Linked DNA regions of Oreochromis niloticus. The protein of the gene in region 3 purifies or fractionates together with the protein of the main gene of each other region. This does not show direct contact. Links are inferred from orthologs where the notes say so. Each region holds a gene or a part of one and is shown on either strand. Other genes may lie near its edges.

The links. The genes of interacting proteins can lie anywhere in the genome.
Region 1: the proteins of DNA (cytosine-5)-methyltransferase 1 (region 3) and ehmt2 purify together in Homo sapiens (affinity purification with western blotting; 3 studies listed by BioGRID, with this or other methods). This does not show direct contact. The link is inferred for Oreochromis niloticus from reciprocal best matches to the Homo sapiens genes DNMT1 and EHMT2.
Region 2: the proteins of DNA (cytosine-5)-methyltransferase 1 (region 3) and mta2 purify together in Homo sapiens (affinity purification with western blotting; 3 studies listed by BioGRID and IntAct, with this or other methods). This does not show direct contact. The link is inferred for Oreochromis niloticus from reciprocal best matches to the Homo sapiens genes DNMT1 and MTA2.

What each region holds. Positions count from the first base shown.
Region 1 is NC_031985.2:15,481,655-15,489,188, forward strand, and holds the start of ehmt2 (histone-lysine N-methyltransferase EHMT2), read right to left. Parts: upstream 3,010-7,534; 5' UTR 2,920-3,009; coding exon 2,893-2,919; intron 1,480-2,892; coding exon 1,410-1,479; intron 1,135-1,409; coding exon 967-1,134; intron 857-966; coding exon 600-856; intron 172-599; coding exon 93-171; intron 1-92. UniProt on the Homo sapiens protein: Histone methyltransferase that specifically mono- and dimethylates 'Lys-9' of histone H3 (H3K9me1 and H3K9me2, respectively) in euchromatin.
Region 2 is NC_031967.2:3,171,852-3,179,712, reverse strand, and holds the start of mta2 (metastasis-associated protein MTA2), read left to right. Parts: upstream 1-4,852; 5' UTR 4,853-5,228; coding exon 5,229-5,256; intron 5,257-7,861. Other genes in the region: eml3 (echinoderm microtubule-associated protein-like 3), read left to right, coding at 899-987, 1,376-1,473, 2,465-2,552, 2,641-2,739, 2,846-2,976, 3,400-3,606. UniProt on the Homo sapiens protein: May function as a transcriptional coregulator. Acts as a component of the histone deacetylase NuRD complex which participates in the remodeling of chromatin.
Region 3 is NC_031969.2:24,059,714-24,066,962, forward strand, and holds the start of DNA (cytosine-5)-methyltransferase 1, read right to left. Parts: upstream 3,018-7,249; 5' UTR 2,880-3,017; coding exon 2,833-2,879; intron 2,417-2,832; coding exon 2,380-2,416; intron 1,907-2,379; coding exon 1,799-1,906; intron 1,697-1,798; coding exon 1,453-1,696; intron 1,347-1,452; coding exon 1,274-1,346; intron 1,178-1,273; coding exon 1,096-1,177; intron 989-1,095; coding exon 948-988; intron 870-947; coding exon 815-869; intron 729-814; coding exon 645-728; intron 556-644; coding exon 446-555; intron 1-445. Other genes in the region: s1pr2 (sphingosine 1-phosphate receptor 2), read right to left, coding at 6,356-7,249. UniProt on the Homo sapiens protein: Methylates CpG residues. Preferentially methylates hemimethylated DNA. Associates with DNA replication sites in S phase maintaining the methylation pattern in the newly synthesized strand, that is essential for epigenetic inheritance.

The sequences.
Region 1 (7,534 bases), on a different chromosome or scaffold from region 3:
ACGTGATGCAAACCATGACAAGGCTTAGTTTTAAAGTAAAGCAGTAGTTAATGCTCATTTAACTCTTTTACTGTGAGTTTAGACCTACTGACCAGGTTCAGAGTGAGAAGAAAGACTGGCTGAAGATCCTGAAGGAGTCACAGATGCAACAGGTGTCTCAATTTGACTGATCTGAGGAACAAAATTAGTCAAGCGTGTTTGTGGGTATATTAATGTCATTTTAAATGCAATTTAAGACCAAACTTGTGATGGAAGCAGAAACCGAAAGAACAAATATCCTTTTGATCCTTTCCAAGTTTAGGAACACTGTCCAGATATGCCTATCAATCTGGAAAGGAACAAAAATATCATTGTTTTCCTAAATGATATCCAATTTCCCCAAGTTTTAAACCCTGTTCGACACACAGCAGGGATTTCTCCACAGGCATTTAAATTCTTGACAGCTTTAGGTCATTTTGAAAGGTTTAAAGCAATTTTTAAAACACAATAATTTAAAATAAGCACCTTTAACAACTGGTAGAAATCTAGATAATAAATCATGAAAACCCATATATTTACCAAATATGATTGATACCAAACAGGAGTAGCTCCTCTCTCACCTGCCCTGGTGGAGGCCTGTTCATCGTCTTTCGCGCCCGATGGATCTTGGGTGGTGCAGGGGAGACAGATGGAGAAGAAGCAGCTGTTGTAGAGGAAGAAGAGGAGGATGATGGAGGACCAGGCGGAAGGACAGATTTACTGCTACCAGGCCCTGAAACGCTCATCTTTGCTCGGCCAGGAGACAATGTCGAAGATGTGGAAGGAGACGACGACAATGACGAAGAGGTCGTCGAAAGAAGGGAATTTGCTGTGTGACCTGACAAATTAAAGCAAAAGGGATTATCTCCTCAGTTTGTAAACTAAGTCTGATTAAATCAACGAAATCAACTCAGAATTTCGACAGCAGCTAATGCAATCTGAGCTCACCTGCAGCAGCAGGTTTGTTCTGGGGGGAGGCGGCAGGGGACCATTGTTCTCCTTCCTCTCTGACTGTGGAAGCATCCTTCTCGGGCTGCTGGGACGACAACAGTGATGACATAACACCCATGGGCTCCGTCTTGGTGGCAGCAGCAGATGAGGTGAAGGCTGCATTATCTGAGGAATATCCGGAGTGCAAGAATTTTAAAGTTTATCAAGGAGAAATAATTTCTTGGGCATAATGCTACAATCTGCCGCTTGATGGTAGTGCAATGATGTGCAGCATGTCATAAAGCTCAAAACATCTCAGTCTGATTTCTTTAATATGACAATTCACTGTACTCATATGAGATCAAATGGCATTCACAGGTCATTTAATTGCAAACCAATGCAATGTCTTTCAATATATTTCAAATATTAACATTATCTGCATAAACCAGCTGGTGAATTACCTTCCTTTGTTTGACTTGACCCAGCTAATGACTCCTCTGATGTTTTTGACTCGTCATTTTCATGGTGCTCCTGGTGGACAAAACAAGAAACAAGTGAAACGAGTAAAACTGATAACAGAACAGGCTCTTATTTTAATGATTTAATGAAATGATTGCAGTTCAACCAATCATTGGTAGAATAAATACACAAAGAAATTATATTGTATATTTGCATGCATGCAAAATATACAGTTGCTTGAAAAAGTATTGGCCCCCTTCCTTTATTTTTGTATGTCTGTCACACTTAAATGTTTCAGATCAAACAAATTTAATAATAAGACAAAGATAACACGAGCAAACACAAAATGCAGTTTCTAAATGAAGCTGTTTGTTATTAAGGGAAAAAAAAATCAAAACCCAAATGGCCCTGTGTGAAAAAGGTATTGGCCCCTAAACCTAATAACTCCTTGTAGCGCTGTGGAGGAATTTTAGCCCACTCAGCTTTGCAGAATTGTTGTAATTCAGCCACAATGGAGGGTTTTCGAGCATGAACCGCCTTTTTAATGTCTTGCCACAACAGCTCAATTGGATTCAGCTACAGGACTTTGACAGCCTTTTTCACACCAGTGTACATGTAAAAGCATGCACTCTAGAGGTCTAAATGTGGATCCACTACACTCATTGTATCTCTGGCCTGGTAATATTTTTGGGCCTAGCAAGTTCTCTTGATAGAAACGCTTCCTACTGACAAATAACACAGGACCTCAACCAGGGGCAGCAGGACAAGGATATGAGGATACTGTGAGCATCATTCTCAAAAGTGTTGTGTCTGTTCATTTGACAGTACAATCAAAACTGTCACTAATGTCATTCTAAAGTTATTTTAGGTAAAAAAATAAAACCCACTACTTTCGGCCTTCACATCTCCAAAATAAACCCGTCGGCCAATAGGTGAAAATTTCTTTCATGTTACATCAACTGCCGCCATGAGTCAGTAATTCCATTCATGCTTTTTACACGACCCAAGAAAAACCCCTTACTCCAACAGTACACCAAAAAGAAACGTGAATTTAAAACGGGATTTTAAACTCCGACTGCTTAAAATCCTAATTTCTTTTCCTGTGAATTTCTCGTTGGTGCAGCATTTACTTTAAAAAAAAAGCTCCTAACTAGCAACTACGAATAAAAACATATCCTAAAAAACAGATCGAGGTGCAATACTTGCTATACAGAGGATTGCTACAAAGGTTACTGGTCAACAAATACAAAACAGCAGCAAAACATCATCTGGATAAGAGTAACCCTGCAGGTAACACAAAACTGTTACAGGCTAACACTGCTAGCAGTGCAGCCTAGGTTACAATAAAAAAAGCTATTATAATCGACATGCAAAGTCAAGAGGAGCTTGGCAGTATGCAGTATCGGTAAACTGGGGAGTTTAAAGGTAGACGAATAGACGTAAATTCCTTTAGCATGCAGTTTTCAGCTGCAGTACGTTAGCTACCTTTGTCGTTGTCTCAGATGCCGACATGTTTCCCAGTGACCGTCAACGTATGTGAGCGTGCTGCGTCACGGCCGGAGCCCCGCCCCCTCGATGGATGGTGGGAGGGGGGTGGTGCCCATAAATTTTTTTAAAACTCGCTGATCAGAAATCAGCGTACGTGCTGTCGTTTTACGGCTGACCGCGAGGCGAAGTCGCTTGCGAAAACAGACTCAAAGTCAGCTAAGCGGCGAAATACGGGGCGGTTTGTGTTTGTTGTCACGAGGTATGCCTCCTACACCCCCCTCCGAAAAAAATAAAGGGGCCGAAAAGTAAACAGAAACCCAGGCAGAAGCTGGTGTCGTCTGGAGGAATGAACAGACAGCGCTCCCGTTCGGCTAGCATCTCCTCATTTAATGGTCACTTCATTTAAAGAACCCCGATTTGCTTTCTGGAGAGCCCGCAAGGCATTCAAGGAGAGGAGAGGCGAAGGTGAGCAGGCGACAAAGTTTGACAATAACTGAGGGGGTTTTGTTCGTTTGACTGCTGCTGGATAGAAGAAGAGACGACACGAAAAGGGAGCTGTTAGTGAGTGGCTAACGTTAGCTAGCTGGACTGGAATGAAAAGAGGAAAAAAACGTGTGTTATAGTCAGCTTATAACCACCTTTACTAGTTTATTATAGGCTCCGCTACTGCTGAAACGCACGAAACGGTAATCTTTTTTAATATCCGCTTTTCAAGCTCAAATGTTAGCCAGTCTAACTTTTCAGGGTCTGTAAGTCCTAAACATGACATGGATAAGCATGGATATAATTAGCCTGTTTATATCACATCAGTTAGTGGATTCCATTAATATAACATGTCACTAAAGTGAGCTAGCATTATATAATTTCCTCCCATAGGTCCTCTTAACCTTAGTTGGTGTTATACCAAAATTGAAAAACACTGATTTTTTTTTTTTCAATTGTCTTTGTCAGTTTGATTTGCGGCTACCATGGATCTTATTTTTTGTTGGCCACTAGAAGCATTCTTAATCTACATATTTATTGTGCTAATTGACCAGTTTTCATCCTTTATTTTGTTGTCATTATCTTGAGAGACAGTATTATGCAAAAGTCTTGAGCCACCCGTTATTTCTTTATAGGAGCCAGGCTTTCTTGTCATTTGTATTAAAGTGGTCTTGAGCAATAGTTCTCCGGGCTTTCTGAAATGCTCTTTAAAATATTTATTAGGATGTTGTCTTCTTTTTTTCACTCACTTTCAGTCCAGTCCTTGTATCTGAACATTTTGAGAGACAGACAGACTGAATTTTCGGAAGAATCTGAATCGCTGACTTAAAATATGAACATGAAACATAGAAAATGTAAACTGTATATTAAAAAAAGGCACCCAAAGTGCAATATTACATTTAAATAGTTTTTTTTAAACCCCATTATGTACGGTATAGACAAGGTATTACAAGTGAAAATAGGTGAGGTGTGATAAGGAAGAGATATTCGTTGGCTTTAGGTAGGAATGATTATGAGGTCCATCATGGTGGAGTGAAAAAGCTCCTGTGGCTGTCCAGCACAAGATGGAGAGGGTGTGAAGGATTGGCCAATACTGACCATAACTGGGACAGTATCCTCCTTTCTGAAACCTCTGTCAGAGACTCCACACCCACAACATTACTGGCTTCAGTTTATTGAGTCTGTTGTTATCTGCTACTCTCTGTCTGCTGACAGACTTTTTTGCGTCTGTTTGTTAAGCAACTCAAGACTGACCTATGACTCATTCGAGCATTTAAAAAAGGCTCCTAACTTAAGGGATGAACCATTGTTGTGTCTACACATAACAGACAACTTCACAAAGAACCAATTTAAAATTTTATCTTGAGGCATTTTGTTACCTGCCTGTTGCTTTAACACATAATTTATTCCTGTTTCTTTTTAGTTGAATCTATGAAAAGTACCAAAAATAACACTTTCAAAGATATAAAATGGTACTTTTGCATGAACTAGGTGTTCCTAAAGAGTTACTAGCTGAAGACTTGGCAAAGCTTGGCTTGGTGTGCAGTGTGTCCTTAAAAATTGATTAAGCTAGACACAGAGGTCCAAAGAAGGAAAAAAAACAATCTGCAGCTGTTGGACAGTATCTGAAAGTCCGACAAAGACCTGACAGAGGACCCGAGAGATGCATTTGACCCCCCAGTTGATTCATCTACTGTTCAGGAATTATATCAGTGGGTAGGTGGCTGTAAAGAAGCCATTAGTAAGCCTGAAGTATTCCTGAAGACTACTTAAATAAATGACAAGAAAACCTGCTTAAGAGAGTTCAGGGTGGTCTTACCAAATGTTGACTTTCAAGCTTGTTAGAATGTACAAGCTCTGTTTTTCCCTTTTTTATTGCATTTCCTTGGAAGTAGGGCTGCTCGATTATGGCAAAAATGATAATCACGATTATTTTCACTGAAATTGAGATCTCGATTATTTGACGATATTTATTTAACAATAACAATGTATTGAATAATGGCTTTAAAGATTGTCAAAAATAATATAAAATAGTGTGCAAATACTGATTACAGTGCAAATGTTTGCAATATAAAAAATAAATGAAAAATGTAAACATCTATGTTTAGTGAACTTCAAAATACTGCACAATATTTGATCCACGTCTGACTCCGCGAACCCATAATGTTTCCACACCACTGAAGTCGTTTTACCTCTCTTTTCAACCAACGGCATTCTTTCTTCAGCAGCCATTATCCTCTCTCCAAATAACTTCTGCTTAGCTTTCCGAGCTTTTCGAGCTTCCCTCGGGTCCTCTTAATTGTTGTGACGCGTGTTCGAAACGCAGAGAGGTGCGCTCGATTTGCCACACGGAGCAGCGCGAGAGTAAAGCACGAGGGAGGTGCTAAAAACCGGCTCAGTCATTTTTAATGATCGTTGAAAACCCAGATCGTAATCGAGATTAAAATTCGATTAATTGAGCAGCCCTACTTGGAAGTTTGCATACATTTTAATAAATCGCTGCACCCATTTCTCATTTTCCTAGCAAAATATAAAGAAATCAGGGGAGACTCAAGACTTTTGTACAATACTATATTTTATAAATCATTTTGACAACTGTTAGCTCAGTCTTACAGAAAAGGAGTTTACTCACATTAGTTAGATTTTGTGAAGATAAGAAGGTATGAATCAGACAATTATTTGCCAAATTAATGGTTTTAATGGTCATGTGGCATTTTAATTTCTTTCTCTTACACCAATAATGACAGATCTAAGCATGAAACAGTTACCCAACAAAAGAAGGAATATTGACAAGTAAGTATCAGAACATTTATTTTTTTTTCCACCTTAAATAAAAACCGTAAGATCTATAGAAAAAATACTGGCTGATCACTATTGGAGAATGTTTGGCCTTTTGTTAGGCAAAAAAACAATCAATGAAATGAATTATTTTGATAACAGATTAATAATTAATCCTAGTGTCAGTGGAGCAGATGATTAACAATCACCACTTTGATGTCTTCGTTTCATTTCCCCTTTAAAGATTTGTTATTCAAACAAACCATCAGCTGATTCCTGTTCTGCAGCGCTTTGTTCTTTTTAGGAAGCTTCCTTTATTAGGCAATAGGCAGTATTGCGTTGTCCTTGTTTGATCTCATTATCTGTAACACTTTCCACATTTGTTACACACTTTGAGACCCGAAGGTGTGTGTGAATTTTATGAAATGTGCAGCTGAAGGAAATGCTTTTTGTCACTGTCAGTTCTCTATAAACAAAATATCTGCAGAAAAAGCCAGTCTATATTTTATTTAGAAAAAAAAAATACATAAAATACTCCTATAATTGGATCACATTTCAGCTATCCAATAATAAAGCCAGCAATATAAAAGAGCATCTTTAATGAGTGTGTCTTTGAAGTCAGAGAAAAGTTTCCGGGAACAGGCACATTAAAAAAAACCATAGACTTTACCTGATTACTTAAAAGTATTGAAGGATATCCAGTTAGGTTGAAAGAGCGAGCAATGCAAGTGTCTGTCAGGAAGTTATCATAAAAAGCAGCTGGGCTGAGGCCAGATCAGAGGTGCAGGAGACGATAACCCCGAAGGGCAAGCAGTATAGATCCATGCCTTCATGTTTATACAAAATTGTTACCTACCATCCAAATCCAGAGATCAAGACTCAAAAGGCCAGGCAGCATTTTTCAAATCTTCTGTTTTCCATTTTTGGCACTCAGTGTGGTCTGCTGCTTCGAGGTTTGGCATGTTTGTTCACAGGTGCTCTTCTGTATACCTTGGTTGTAACATTATTTGATTTACTGTTGCCTTCCTGTGAGCTTGTTGCTGATCTACTGGGATTTTCCCAAAACCAGCCTGTCTGGCACCCACAGCCATGACACATTCAAAGTCACTTAAATCACCTTTCTTCCCATTCTGATGCTCAATTTGAACTTTACTAAAGTGTGTTGACCATTTCTACATGTCTAAATGTGTTTAGTTTCTGCTATATGATTGGCAGATTAGATAAGTAAAAAAGTTTTAATCTTTCTGTGAAATCCATTGAATCATCTTCCTTTTAACCTCTGTGCATTTAGTACATATATATATATGCTCACATTAACAAATAATAGGAGTAATCTGAGGCATGTGTTTGCTGGCACAGTGAGAACTCCAGCACAAGC
Region 2 (7,861 bases), on a different chromosome or scaffold from region 3:
TGCAGGAGCGTCAAACAGCTGCTGGCTCTGTCCAGATGTTGCAGAGAGCATCCTCATGACTGAGGGCCCTCGCCTGGGTGGTAACGACTGGGTATTTGAACAGGACAACGCTACAGTACACAACGCCATAAAGGACAAAGGACCTCCTCCAGGAGAATAACATCGCTCTTTTGGACCATCCCGTGTGTTCCCCTGATCCAAGTCCAGTGGAGAACCTTTGGGGATGGATGGCAAGGGAAGTTTACAGAAATGGACGACAGTCCCAGACAGTAGATCGCTTCGTGCGGCCGTCTTCACCACTTGGAGAAATGTTCCCACTCACCTCATGGAAACGCTTACATCAAACATGCTGCAACGAACTTTTGAAATGATCAACACTAACGGTGGAGCGGCTCATTACTGAGTTCATGTTTGGAACTCTGATTTCTGTTTTGGGGGGTTTACAGGTATTTTTGGAGGTGTGGTCTTAAACTAAACTGTAAAACAGCCTGTTTCAGTTTAAGTGTTGTTTTCAATAAACTACACGCTCAACAAAATGTTTGGTCTCACTCTCATTTCTTGTTCATGTTGAAGCTCTACTTGGGAACTTGTTAAGATCCAACCATGCAAAATATGATTTTTTTTCAAGTGATCTTAAACTTTTGATCGGGACTGCATCAGTATGGATACACTTCTTTATTAATCCTATGACAAACTGACAGAAATAGAAACGGACAAACAACACATAACGAAACTTAAGCTCCAAACTAAAAGAAAGGTTAGGAAGCATTGATCTGTGGCTTCCTGTACAGTAGATGGAGAATTTAGCCATGTGCATTCCAGTGTGTTCTTTTCTCTGACTCTCCACCTGTCTGCCTGTATCCTGCTGATCCTCCTCCACCCCCTGTAACACTGACAGGTGGATGGTCCTTGACCTGCTGACCAGGGAGGTAGTTTCTGAATCCACTGACGGGAATGAGCAGCTGTCTGTCATGAGATATTCACCAGGTCAGTCAGTAACTCCTCCTCCTATCTTAACTGTAGATGTGACAGATTAGGGTGGTGTTCACATCCAACCACGTGGTCATGGAGTTGGAGTTAATGATCTCCTTCACACAAAAAACATGCAGTAAACTTTGAGTTAAAGCTTAAAACTATTTTCACAGATAAAAGATTTTTTTCTTGTTTTGTTTTTTGTTTAAAATTTTCATTCTCCGAAGCCAAATAAATTATAGTCATAAAAAATGCGCAGTCATAGTTTATGAGTTATTTGTGCATTGATTTTGTTTATTTGCCAAAGTAGACAGAGAGACAGGAAACGAATAGAGAGGGTACCACGTACCAAAGTTTCACAGTGGGAATCCTCTTTGACTGTGAGGGACCGCTTGCTTTTCAGATGGCAGCTTCCTAGCTGTTGGATCACATGACAACTTCATCTACATCTACAGTGTGACAGAGAGTGGCAGGCGTTACACCCGCTTTGGAAAATGTAATGTGAGTTAAACTTTAAATTATTTCTTCTTGGTTAACATCTCCATCAAATATGAGCCTGCTCTAGTGCTGTATTTTCCTTCTTGTCAATAAATCTTGTGTACAGACTTCCATTGTTGTCCACATATTATTACAAATCACACTGATCAGTGGAATGACCGTTACCTTCACAGCACAGAATCAGCTTTAGTGAAGGTTACAAATGATCTTCTTATGGCCTCTGACAGTGGACTCATCTCTGTGTTAGACCTCAGTGCAGCGTTCGATACTTTTGACCACAATATTTTATAACAGCGATTAGAACATGCTGTAGGTATTACAGGTACTGCGCTGCAGTGGTTTGTATCATATCTATCTAATAGACTCCAGTTTGTGCATGTAAATGGAGAGTCCTCTTCACACACTGAGGTTAATTATGGTGTTCCACAGGGTTCAGTGCTAGGACCAATTCTGTTTACATTATACATGCTTCCCCTAGGCAGCATCATTAGAAGACATAGCATACATTTTCACTGCTATGCAGATGACAGTCAGCTCTGTCTGTCCATGAAGCCAGATAACACACACCAATTAGTTAAACTGCAGGAATGTCTTAGAGGCCATCCAGGTCTTTGTCTTTAACTTTCTGCTTATAAATTCAGATCAAACTGAGGATATTGTACTCGGCCCTGAAAATTGTAGCAGTATGCTATCTAACATCTGTTAAAAATAGTTCATGTATTTGTTACTTTTAGGCTGGTCCACTGTAATTTCTTATTGCTATTATTATACTCATGCTAGACATTAGAAAGAATGCCGTTTAAATGCACTTGAACATTAACTTCACTTTTAATGACCTGGAAATCTTTCATATGCAACGTGTGGTATGGAGCTTGCAAACACGGAGATTAATGCCAAAGACGTTTATGGAGTTTTCTGATGAAAATCCAGAATAAAAGCTTTGCTTGCTTTAGCTAATATGACTGACACTCTGTCTGCTTATCTGTTCGATCAGGGCCACTCCAGCTTCATCACTCACCTGGACTGGTCCAAAGATGGGAAGTACATCATGTCAAATTCAGGCGACTATGAGATCCTTTACTGTAAGTGAACATCCAGCACTGTGCTTTTAGTGCTGTTATAGGAATGCCATGCAGTACGTTCTTTAGCTTAGTGACTGTGTTTTAACAGGGGACATAGCAGCAGGATGTAAGCTGCTGAGGAACCGCTTTGAGAGCAAAGACAGAGAATGGGCCTCTTATACCTGTGTGCTAGGCTTCCACGTGATGGGTGAGAAACTCCAAGCAAAATGCTGTTGTCCTCCTTTAGCATTGCATTAACGTCATGGAGTTCTTTTATCCAATCAGACTGATGAGTGTGGTACTGTGGTGTTCAGGTGTGTGGCTGGAAGGCTCTGACGGCACAGACATCAACGCGCTGTGTCGCTCCCACAACGAGAAGATGGTGGCTGTGGCTGATGATTTCTGTAAGGTTCATCTGTTCCAGTACCCCTGTCCTAAACTCAAGGTAACTATTTTCTTTTTTAAATAAGAACCAAATGATGAAAGTGAGCCAGTTTTAAGAGTTAGAAACAGTTAAACCGTTTGCCAAAGTCAGTCCAGCTCAAGCAGATCAGATAACCCACGTTAACGGTTTTGTACACAGTTGTATTCGTTCATTAAAGCAGTGTTCAGATGACACACGGATTGATTTAATAAGCTGCTCAGTTTTCAAGAGCAGGTCACATCTTCTAAGACCCTGAGCCCGCTGTGTTTGTAGTGCTGTCACTACAGTTGTGGGACATTCAGTCCAGATTCAGCATTAACAGTAGGAACCTTGTAGAAAGGTGTTTATCCTAGTCTGGAAAGACAAATTGGGGGGCGGGGGACTGGGATATGATGGGCCTTCCTCTGCGCTGACCCAAAGTGGACCTGCTTCTTTTCTCTTCAGGCACCAAGCCACAAGTACGAGGGCCACGGCAGCCACGTCACCAACGTCTGCTTCACTCACAGTGACTCTCACCTGCTCTCCATTGGCGGGAAGGACACTTGCATCCTTCAGTGGAAGGTGATTGGAGGTGGGGTGGGTAACAGCCAGGAAAGACTGGCCTCGGCCTCATCCACCTCTACCAGCTCTCCAGAACCTGCAACCAGCTAGGGAGACGGCTGCTTATAAGAGTGAGGGAAAGCAGGCTGTTTTCTTACAGCCGCAGAGGCATCGAAGTGAGTTATGGGCTCAGTATATCCTCTGGACTGACACTGCTGCTAGTTTCATGCAGAACATCCTCTTCAGGAGGAACATCCATGTTAATGTTATGCTTTAAATCCTTGTGAAACTGGACAGTGTGTGTGATGTTTCCCATAAGACAGAATCCTCGTCATTCTGTTGTGTATGTGGTGAGAACTGTTCTTGTTTGATTGCTGGTGCAGAACAGTGCTGCACTGCCATAGTGCCTGTGCACGTGATTTTATACATGTTTTAAACAAGGTTTGGTTAAAATCTCAACTTTTTATATGCTTAGACTGTGACAGGCCTGTCCCATTAAAATCAACTCAGCATCTCTTACTAATTCATTTCTCTAACAGTAGATCAGTACACTTGAAAATTATTACTTTAGTGCAGTTTTGTATGTATTTAAATGAACGTCGGCAATACTGTGATGTCGTATCAGCTGAGCTCCAAATAAATGAGAGAAGACTCAGAGGTGTGTTGTGTGTGAAGTGTCACTAGTGGGCAGTGCCACTCCAGAACCTGTGAGTGTGTTCCTAAATAACAGGTCTCAGGTGAGAACACTTAGGACTGAAGTCTCAACAAATGTGTTTTCATTGAAGACAGCAGTAAAGTCTGTGGTGCCCTCCGGTTGGGATGCAGTAAAGGTACATGGTTTAAGGTGGAAAATATAAAATTAATTGAATAAAATGAATTCAATCATTAACTGCCTTTAGGTGTGATGCTTCAGTAAACTGATTTGCTCTCCAACACTGCCATCTATTGCACTACCAGCAGCCTGTACAAGAAAAACATAACTGTTTATAATACTTGTATCTCCTTTTTAACAGCTTCCGTCCATTCAAAATTTGACCTATTTGGGGCACATTTGCTGCCATCATTACACTGACTGGTCTGTATATTCTCTGAATTTGCAATATTAAAGCCTGTGTTTGTGTGTAAATCTTGTAAATAAGCGTTTGTTTCCGGTAAGCATCCTGCGACACTTTTTAAACTACAAGCAGTAAAGTAAGTTTAGCGTGTCGTTCATTTCATAAAACAGACGGTCTGTGTCACTAAACCAGCGCCGGTGAACAAGTTGACTGTGAGACGTCGGTGATTGTCGACAAAATCCGAAGTTGACGATTTGTACACGAGCGGGGGGGGGGGGGGCTGTGTGTGTGTGTGTGTGTGTTTGTCTCTGTGTGTGCGCGCGCGCTGAACTGAGCGGAGGTGAAGAAGAGGAGGATGAAGCTGGGAGCGGAGGATGGGAGGAAGAGTGGAGTAAGAGACAGGCTAGCTGTATGTGAATAAGTGAGTGAAGAAGAGGAGAGGAAGGTCGCCAGAGAGAGAAAATATAAACTTCTATTTTTGGAGATAATTGCCGGAGCGTCGCCAGCGGAAACTTTCAACTTTTTACCCGCCACTGCTCTCTTGTTGTACCCAGAGCCGGCTTTGTTTCGCGGCGGGGGTGTTGACGATAAATGAAGGAATAAAATAGACTCCCATCGACCTGTTTCTACCCAAGCGGGGAATACCCTGGGACTGCTTCTGATAAAGGTTACGAGAGAATGGCGGCCAACATGTACCGAGTGGGAGGTAAGGAATGGTTTACATTTTTAAGACACCCCTTCAACGTGATTGTTCGCTTCTACTGGGAGCTGGCTAACTAGCCGCTAGCTGTCTCTGCTGTTAGCAGCTAGCTAAAGCTAGCGTACGCTGCGCGACTCCGGGCTTTCATCAAGACCGTCAGATCTGCCGAAACAATGTAGTATGACTTAGCTTACAGACAGACGTAAATAACTTCACATTGATTTGGTTTCCACACAGCTGTAGCCAGGTAGAGCTGCTTCTGTGTTCGGACTATAATAATACAATACATTGAGCAGTGTATATTTGTTTTAAAGTTCAACTTTCAGAACAGATCTGTGTTATATCCCAGTTAGTTCACGCCATCATAGTACCGTACCACAGGGCGGCCGTCGCACAGCATGAACCGGTTCTGAAAGTTTGTATTTATATAAATCCATCCAGCCAGCTGGATCCAGGAGATCCAAACATATGTGGTGGTTATAGATAAGCGAAATAACAGTAAATTGTCCAATTCTCTGACGTGTAGTCTATACATTTGATAACGTCCTCAAAATGAACACAATGCTAGCTAGCATTAGCTGCTGGCTGTTGAGAAGTAAGCATCTAGCTAAATTTGGTGACGTCTGTGATGGCTTGCTAACACCGCTCTGCTAGCTGTGTCAGGCTGGTAGGTTAATTTCATTATCGCCTCCGCCATATCACTAGATGTGCTAATTCTGGCTGCTAAGTCCTGTTAGCTTGGCGTAATAGCGGTACTACCAGAGCTTAGTTAAAATTGTGTTAAGAATTTAGTTTACAGACTGTGGACAGTTATATTGGAACACCTGCAAGTGAACGACTGAATTTGTACCAAGTTAAGTGGTAATAAGTCGTTAAGTTCTCGTTTGTTAAAAATGTTTTATCAGTACTTCATGACTGCAAAGGAAACTGGTATGTCGGCGGTATTAATCAGGTAATTAGTCATTAATATTATCTTTCGCAGCCCCCCGCGACACCAGTGGCAGGCATTTATAAGATGCAGTTCATTTGGAGTTTGCTTTGCACCGTCAGAAAATAAACTAAACTATGGTTCATACAAAGCAAGCTGCTGTTTTCTACTGTTAGTTTTCCAGTCGGATCATCTGGACAGTTGATTCTGGGCTTCAGTGTTGATTGTGAAACATTTTCAGTGCTAAGCCTCGGAGACGGTGCTAGCTACGGGTGGACTGAAAATCTTTGAGTGGGGGGAAGGCTAATCGCAGTCTCACGAGTGTGTGGGGTATTTAGGTCATAGCGATTAAACTATGCTCTGCAAAACATGCTGCATATTTCTGCGCTTAATGTTTGAACAGTTAAAGTGGGGTTTTTTTTCCCCATTAACTTCTTATCACTTACCCGCAAAAATACACACACTTACGTGTGTTTTTGTGTGTGTGTATGTTGCATATTATTGCCGGTTTCTCTCCTCTGACTTCAGCAGTGCAGTTTCATGGATCCACGTATGTTGCTGCTAAAACACTTGACCATTCGGCTTTAGGATCACTGCTATTGTAGCTACTATTTGTGGAGAGATGTGCAGGGTTTTATTTTTGTTGAGAGCAACAGAGCGCTATGTGGAAGGAGAGCCAATTTAGAAATATCATCTAGAAAATTGTAGTAATTTTGTAAGGTGGGTTCCTAGACAAAAACCTATTGTTTGGAGCTAATTATTGGAATTTATAGAAGAGATAAAGCATCAGAAGACAAAGCTTGGCACTGATCATGCACTAGCTAAAGAGAATTGTTGACGAAGGTTTATATGGAAAATTGTCAGAAAATTAAGTGTGAAAATCAAGTGTTGATTTGAGTCACATTTGAACAAAGATGAAGTTTTCTTTCCTCAGGATGAGAATTTTTTTCTTTTACAATACTGTGTCATACGTTCTATATGTTACACATTGACAAACGTGCTTCCATCACTTTGTGGTTTGACTGTAGAGGGGCTGGAAGAGCTGCTGGATCTGTCCCAGCCACCTTGCTGGATCAAGTTTGTGCAGGGAAATAAAGGCAATAGTGTGATGCCACATACAGTGCTGCATCAATGAGCCATAAACCCAGGAACAGGATTTTTCATTGGCAAAGACTATTAAATGCATCATTATGTGTATTTTAAATCAATTATAGGGTAAAAATAAACACCTGTACAGTTGTATTTAAAAACTAAAAACTTCAGTTTAAGAGTTCAGTTTTTCTTGTCACTGAGGCTTTATAATATTTTGCATCTGGTGAACTGATCCAGCCAGCAGGGACCTTTCTGTGTGGGTACTTACTGAGTTACCCACTCTGTGATTCTAAACTGGCTGTAGCTGTGGATTGTTGTCTGTCTCTGTATTAAGCTGGTTTCATGGTCCCGCACGTATCTGTTCACATACACAATCTAGATTGGAACTACTGAATGTTGACTGGTTGACAAGTGGGCCGGAATAGAGAAGGGAGCAAAGTTTACAGGAAACGGGAGAATGGAGAAAAACGCTCCGACGGTGGTTGCAGTGACACTTTTGTTTTTGTTTCACTTCAGCTTTTTGTATGTCAGAACTTTTCTTTTCTCAGCGTGTGGCTGAAGGACATGGATTCATGGACAGTGAATAAGGCA
Region 3 (7,249 bases):
CCGGATAGTTCTCCACCACTCTCAAAGCAAACATCAAATCTGTTTGTGCTCTTTCTGTGTGAAGCCACATACTTCATGGTATCAAACTTTATCCCACTGTAGTTACTACTACCACCACCACCTCATCTGACCAACCACCTTTCCAATCTATCCTTTTCATAGATGCCCTCACTTATTCCCTGCACTTCCTGACCAACAGTTCCCCTCTGTCATTTTCTTCATTCTTGAGTTCCTCAAGGCACTATTTCCACCCTGTCACCACCCTCTTGACTCGATAGTACATTTCCAACTCTATCCTGCTGCACATCTTTTCAAGCTTGATGTCACCCTCTTGCCAGTCACAGGTCTTTCTCTCCTTGCAGTTTTATTTTGTTCCTCTAACCTAACAAGCTGTGTATGTTACCTCACAGGAACAAAACCTTTATAAAGATGGAGAATCACTCACCTGAAGTTTGTGATCTTGTGCTGTGGCAGATCCTCATAGCTCTCAAATCCATCCTCATTGGAGTCAAACAGTGAGAGGCGCTCATCTGTTAACATTTCAGGCTCATCCAGCTGAAACACAGAAATTATGGGTTTGGTTTTTTTTTTTTTATAATTTAAAACAAACAAAACTACAGTTTATGTGTGGCAAGTTTTCTCACCGCATTATCAGGATCCCCTTGAAAAAACTTCAGGTCAGAATCATCTAGGTATTGTCTACAGTCTTGACATTTGGGTGGTGGCGTCTGAACAGTAACAAAAACACAATCCAGTCAGCACGAAGCAGTAATGCCTCCAAAAATGTTTACAGTTCACCAATCCAAATCACTACCTTTACAGCAGAAACCGGCTTTGCAATGTCACTCTTGGATTCTTCTGGAGCAGCACTGCATAAAGAAAAGTGTCAGCCCATTTGCTTTTATAAGCTATATCACAATTGGTGCTCTGAAGACAAAGATACTTACTTTTCATCCGACTCCACTTTGAGACGCTTCTCCTCCCGAGACTACAAAAAACAAATTTGAAATTATGTGGAGAGTTATTTATCAGACACTGAGAAACTGCAGCTTCTATTTATGTTTTTTACATTACTTGTACATAAAATTACGATACCTCCTCAACGTCATCATCTTTCTTCGGTTCATTCTGTCCGTTGACAGCTTCTCCATTCAAGTCCTCTGACTTGCGCTTCTGACTGAAAGACATTTATTTCAAGCAGGTTAAAGTGATGGAAGAGTTTTGTTTTAGGCCCAAATACATAAATGAATTAAGTATATATTATTATACGCACACTTTAGTGAACATTGACAAGATGGTTGGCTGTTTCCCACTGTTTCTGGTAACCCTGGTACTTGCTGGAGACTCTACAAAAGGAAAAAAAAATTCTTTTAAAAATTACCTTTGCTTAAATAACTGGAGAAAGACACTGAATGTGCAGGTGATCTCCATCTTAAGAGATTTTAAACATACTTTTTGTGTCAGAATTTGCCTTGCTCCTCCGTCCACCCTTCCCCTTCGAAGCAGTTGGTGACTTGAAAGATTCCTCCTCCTCCTCCTGTACGCTCATGGTTACATCTTCATCATGCTCGTCTTTGTGCGAACCATTTGAAAAGCCATTCGTCTTTCCATTCTTCTCTGCGTCATCAACGTGGGAGCCATTTTCAAGATGAAGTTCTTTTCCAAGTAGGGCCTTCACTTTAGAGATATAGACCTCCTTTAAAAAAAAGGCACATGACATATGTCACAAGTTAGATGACAGAAAGTGAAGTACGGTTTTAGGATTAATATCAATTTGGACAACTTACAACTGACTGACCTTTGAGATCTCTGAACTTTTCATTTTTTCCTCCAGACTGGTCAGCTGATCCTGAGCATCAGCATGCAGAAAGTCCTGCACCAACTTGAGCTTCTCTTTCACATGTTCCTGGAGTGACATTTTAAAAGAGAATAAGAGTTAATGAATAATGTCAAAAGAAAAAAAAAAAATAAGGCACAACTTATGCACTCACACGCACAAGGATAAATACACAAAACTAAAAGAACACAACTGTCTTAAACTGGATTCCATTACTTAATGACACAATATGCAACCTGGAAACTATTACATATTTAACTTTGATTCCTGTTGACTTCGCACCACTGGTGTCAGTTTCCTTATGCTGTCCACCAGAAACTGCTCAAATAGAAAATGGCACAAAAAAGAAGACTAAAGCTGATCCTCGTTCATTTTATTCATAATTATTTATGATATAAGGGGAGTGCAATGTGGATTGAGCAAGGAACTTCCCTTTGAGGTGACAGTATAGAAACCAACTAAAATACTAAACAGTTAGTTCTTCCACACTAAACTTCCGTTTCAGAACTACTAGATAAGCATGTTTTGAGTCCACAACTCACCTCTTCTGCAGATCCTTCCTCATCCAACCTCTGCAAGCTGTAAACAAAGAAGAATCAAAACAGTGCTGGGGTAAGTCAGAGCGAATCGTGTGGGAGCGCTTCCTTTACTATACTGCAGCAATAAAACACTGACAGCGGGAAAGCAGAAACACAGATAACAAAACTTCCTGAGTGGCGCCAAATCTCACACGCTGTCCCATCCATTGGCAGGCTAATGATGCTAACTGGCTAATAGTGCATACCGCATCAGCCCTGTCAATGGCAAAAAGCTAATGTTAGCAACATCTGTTTGCACAGGTAAAAGGGAAACCGCCAGTAACGCTCAGGACAACCAGAGAAAGTCTAACCCACCAGGACTGCCATTTCAGCTTTAACCGCCACTGTTATGGCTTTTGAAATAAAAGCTGCAAGCTAGCTACATCAGTAGAACACTATTAGCATTCATTACAGTACCTTTTCCTGACATCGTCCGGGAGAGGCAGGGACGTCCTGGTTGGCATCGTAAACGAGCGTAAGACACGAGCGACTAAAAATGTTTTAAAACCGTTAAAACACCGTTTAAAACTCCACTATCATTAACCACCGCGCGGCTCCACGGTGACAGTCTGTCGTGTGCAGATGGATGCTATAAGCAATTCGGGCGCGCGGGCCGTCTTTTCGCGCGGAAACCCGGGTGTTGTGGACTGTACCACTCTAGCTATGTACAGGTAAAACAGTTTCGATGATGGACTTAATACATCCTTGATGTACGTATCGTTTGTGACCGGAATTACACGTTTATCTCATAAATATTATTAGTAAAAGAAAAACGGAATTTTTAGTCTATTTTATAAAGAAATACTTTATCTAGAAATGCACAATTAACTCGATCCACCCTTACTGTTTGATAGATGTCGAAGTGGACTGACCAGGCGGAAGTTGTTGTTTACTAATGAGCTATCGTAGCAAGACATCTGCATCTGATGTATTACTACTTTTTGGTAAAACAAAAACAAACAAACAATACAATTGAAAAAACATTGACTGAATGGCGTTGTAAATGTGAAGCACAATGTAGCTGTTGTATTATTGTAGGATAACAGTTGTTGATAATCCACTGTGGATCGCTTCCAGTGTGACTGTACTATCTATGCCTGAGGTCATGATTGCCTTAAGATGTTTGTCCTTTATGTAGCTATTTTGATTTGGGCGACTGCAATGTCATTATGAGCAAATAAATAAGGAGACAAGGTCCTTCAACTGTAACCAGCTACGCGCCTATTCCACCACAAGGTGGCACTGTGTCATTGGCAGAAGATTAATCTCAGGCGGTCAGTTTGTTCTTGTACGGTTACACATGGAAACCCACCCTGCTCGCTTTTACCACTAGTTTTTATTGACACGTGTTTATTCTGTTATTATATTAATTGGTCAGTGTTTAGCTGTGTGTACAATCACTGCACAGTTGAATAATGTTTAGAAATAGGCAGGGTTTTTGTTCACTTTTCCTTTAGTCGAAATTGTGAAGTACTTCAAACTTCGTGCTGTTCTACAGCAATGAGCTTACATGGGCTGTGCTTTATGTGTACACAACTTCACATACAGGTTTCTGAATCTGATGTAATATCCTGCAGTGCTCTGGAAAGACTTGGCAGACATCCCAGCAGCACAGCCTCCTGGGGCTGATTCAGCCAGCGTTCCCACCCAGGAATCCTGGATGTCTGACAGGAAACAGGCCCAAACTCCCAAGGCCTCTATAAGTCAGCCTCCCCCCTCACCCCAAGCATCCCTCTTACCCAGAAAAACCTCTCCCGGGGCTTTTCCTTTATGCTTCCCTCAGACAAGCGCTTACAAACAGGCCATCTTCTCCACCACACCCCACTTTTAGCCCCCGCACTCTGTCTTCTGCCCAGCTTCCCATCCTTTTCATGTCTACCTTTAGCCTTAAAGCAAAGCTATATTTTCATCAGGTAAGATAGCCATGATTAATCACAAAGCAGTATTTGCACAAACAATGACAGGCTTTCATGTTGAGGCTAGTGTTTTTCTGACCTTGTCAGAGCATGTTTGGATTTAATGCTGCATTTTAATTCCTTCTCAGATGGATTCACAATAAAAAAAGAGACAACTCAGGACATGCAGAAAAGTTGCAGCTGCCACACTGGTTGATTAAAGCTCAAAATTAAACATGCACACTTTTTTTTTTCAGTATTTCATTTATTTTTATAAAACTGGAATTAAAAATTAACAAAAAGTCATGTACCTATTAGTGTTTCAGATTGTACCAGTTTAATACAGGAAGCGTGCTACTGGACACACACAACTATTGCACACAAGACATTGCATAAAACAAAGTCATACATACTGTACAAAGACACATACATACTTACAAAACATACACAGTTATTTATATATTTAACATAAAAGTTGGCAAACTCATAGGTACACAGATTCTTTTTAAAAATGGGGGAAAGGAAACATCACGGAAGCTGCCAAAGTGCGTGTCCATCTAAATTTAGAAGTAAATATAAAAAATAAAATAAAAAAAATAAAAACACTGACATGGAGAAGAGTTTTAATTGTATGTCCATGGGAAGAAGGTTACAGTAAGCCTAAACAACAGGAACCGGACGCTGAAAAAATAGGACTTCCTATGGCTGAGGGAAGTTGCGTGTTGTAGGATGTCAGGGAACGAGGATGACGCTGACCTCCCAGGAGGGCAGATACCTCCCGTGCGTCTGAAACCGGATCTTCTCCTATTTTGTAGACAACGTGAGGGGTCTTGAGAAACATGAGACAGGTTTGGATCTTTAGTTGCACAAGGCGTATGGTTTGCAAATTAAACCCAGATGGTCACAACAAATTCTTGTTCATGGTGCTGTTTGAAAATTCACAGTAAGAGTGATCTACCCTGTTTATCCCACTCTGTTTGTCAATGACTTTGTAATTCCAAATGATGATCAATAATACTGTCGACAATGGGGCACATGCCCCGAACACTTCATACATACATTCAGCCTTTTGCCCCCATGAGGAAGGCACAAACAGAGGCAGCACATTGATTCTATGTTACTACAACACTGCAAGGGCATCTGTTCTTTTAGTTAAACCTGCCAAACAGCTGTTATTGAGTCAAATTCGCCATCTGTGCCTACTCCCTTAAGGAAATGTGCATTCTGATTAGGCCTTCCTTGACGGAAACTGTTTAGATACAAAAGACAACAGTAAAAGCAAGAGGGGCAGATTATGAGGACAAATAAGGGAAGGGGTGTTAGTGATGGAAGCCGTATCTGGAGTATATCATACACGTTAGCACTTACAGTCTGAGTTTCATGCATTAAATGTGAGCAGATTACACAAGTTTGTTGTAGTTTATCAAAAGGTACGGTTATATAGGGAATATATAGTCCTGGTTTTGTCAAAGGACTACTTAGTCATTTTGTTTCAGTTGACCACTGCCATCGACTCTGTAAATAATGAGTGATGCAACTTTAAGCTTAATGCATACATATTTCAGTGAGGAAGAGTAATGTGGTTTAATCTTACACAGGGCAAAAATCTCTACAGTAAACTACAAAGTGCAATTTTGCAAGCTTTGCATTGACACAGTTCTTGAAAGTCCCAAACAGCTATTACATAACTATGATATTATGCACATTATTTTTGGCTTTTAAAAGGGTTTAACACATTTAAAAGATGAACACGATCGTAGGTATATACGTGAAAATGGTTTGCTCCACAATCGAGAAAAGTACCCATAAGAACGTTTTGGTTTCTCACTTACTACGTTGGTTTCCTCTTGCATTTTTACACCAGCTGCATGGGTGATTTTAATTGCATACCGATTATAAATTCACACAGTATCAATTGTAATAGGAGATTTAAGTCTGTGTCTCAAAGACAGCTTTGTCCCAGCCTCACCCACATGTCTTAGATCCAGGACGTGCTAGCTCGTTTCTCTTTCTCACACGAATACACATGATATCCTTGGACCCTATCAAACGCAGGTGGTACATTCTTTCATAATAGGCATTTTCTGGTGTTCAAGTTTGTTGGTGCAGTGTTCCAGAGAGCTGGAACTCTTTAGAGGGACCAGACAACGTTCAGAAGGCCGCCCACTTTGCAGCACGCCCCAGCAGCAAATCAAACGGAGGAACTCCTTTCTCATGTCCTTACTGCGCAGCGTGTAGATCACTGGGTTAAGCGCAGAATTCAGGGTGGCAATGCAAAAAAAGGTGCTTGATTTGGAGAGGATAGGGCAGGAATATATGCTGCAGGACGAATCCAGAAGGAGAATTGTAAAAGCGGGCAGCCAGCAGACAATGAAGACTCCCAGCACTATTGTGACCGTTTTCAAAAGGGAATAGGCTTGTGAGTTGGTTGCTTCCTGGTGGCTGGAGCGTACAATCAAATAAATTTTCACATAGAGGATGACAATAGAGAGTAGTAGGAGGCTGAAAACAGTGACGACAAACACAATGTATTTCTTAGAGTAAAGTGGCAAAACTGCCGAGCATTCAGGGAGGTTGTCGATGCAGTTCCAGCCGATGATGGGGAGTCCTCCGAGAAGGATGGAGGTAACCCAACAAGCTCCGATCAGCAGAAACATTCGGCATGTTTTGTGCGAGCCATACACCTTTACCTTGGTGATAGCGATATAGCGCTCTATAGCTATTGCCAACAGGCTGAAGACTGAAGCTGACAGAGCAATGAACACTGTGCCTTCCCTGATGAACCACTGTATTGGGAACAGCTCAAATGTCTTTGCCCCTGATAGAAAAATGTTGGCTATATATGCTGAGCCTGCAAGCAGGTCAGAGAATGCCAGGTTGCCGATGAAGAAAAACATAGCCGAATGGAACTTCTTGTTGCGGAAGACGGCAGTCAGGAC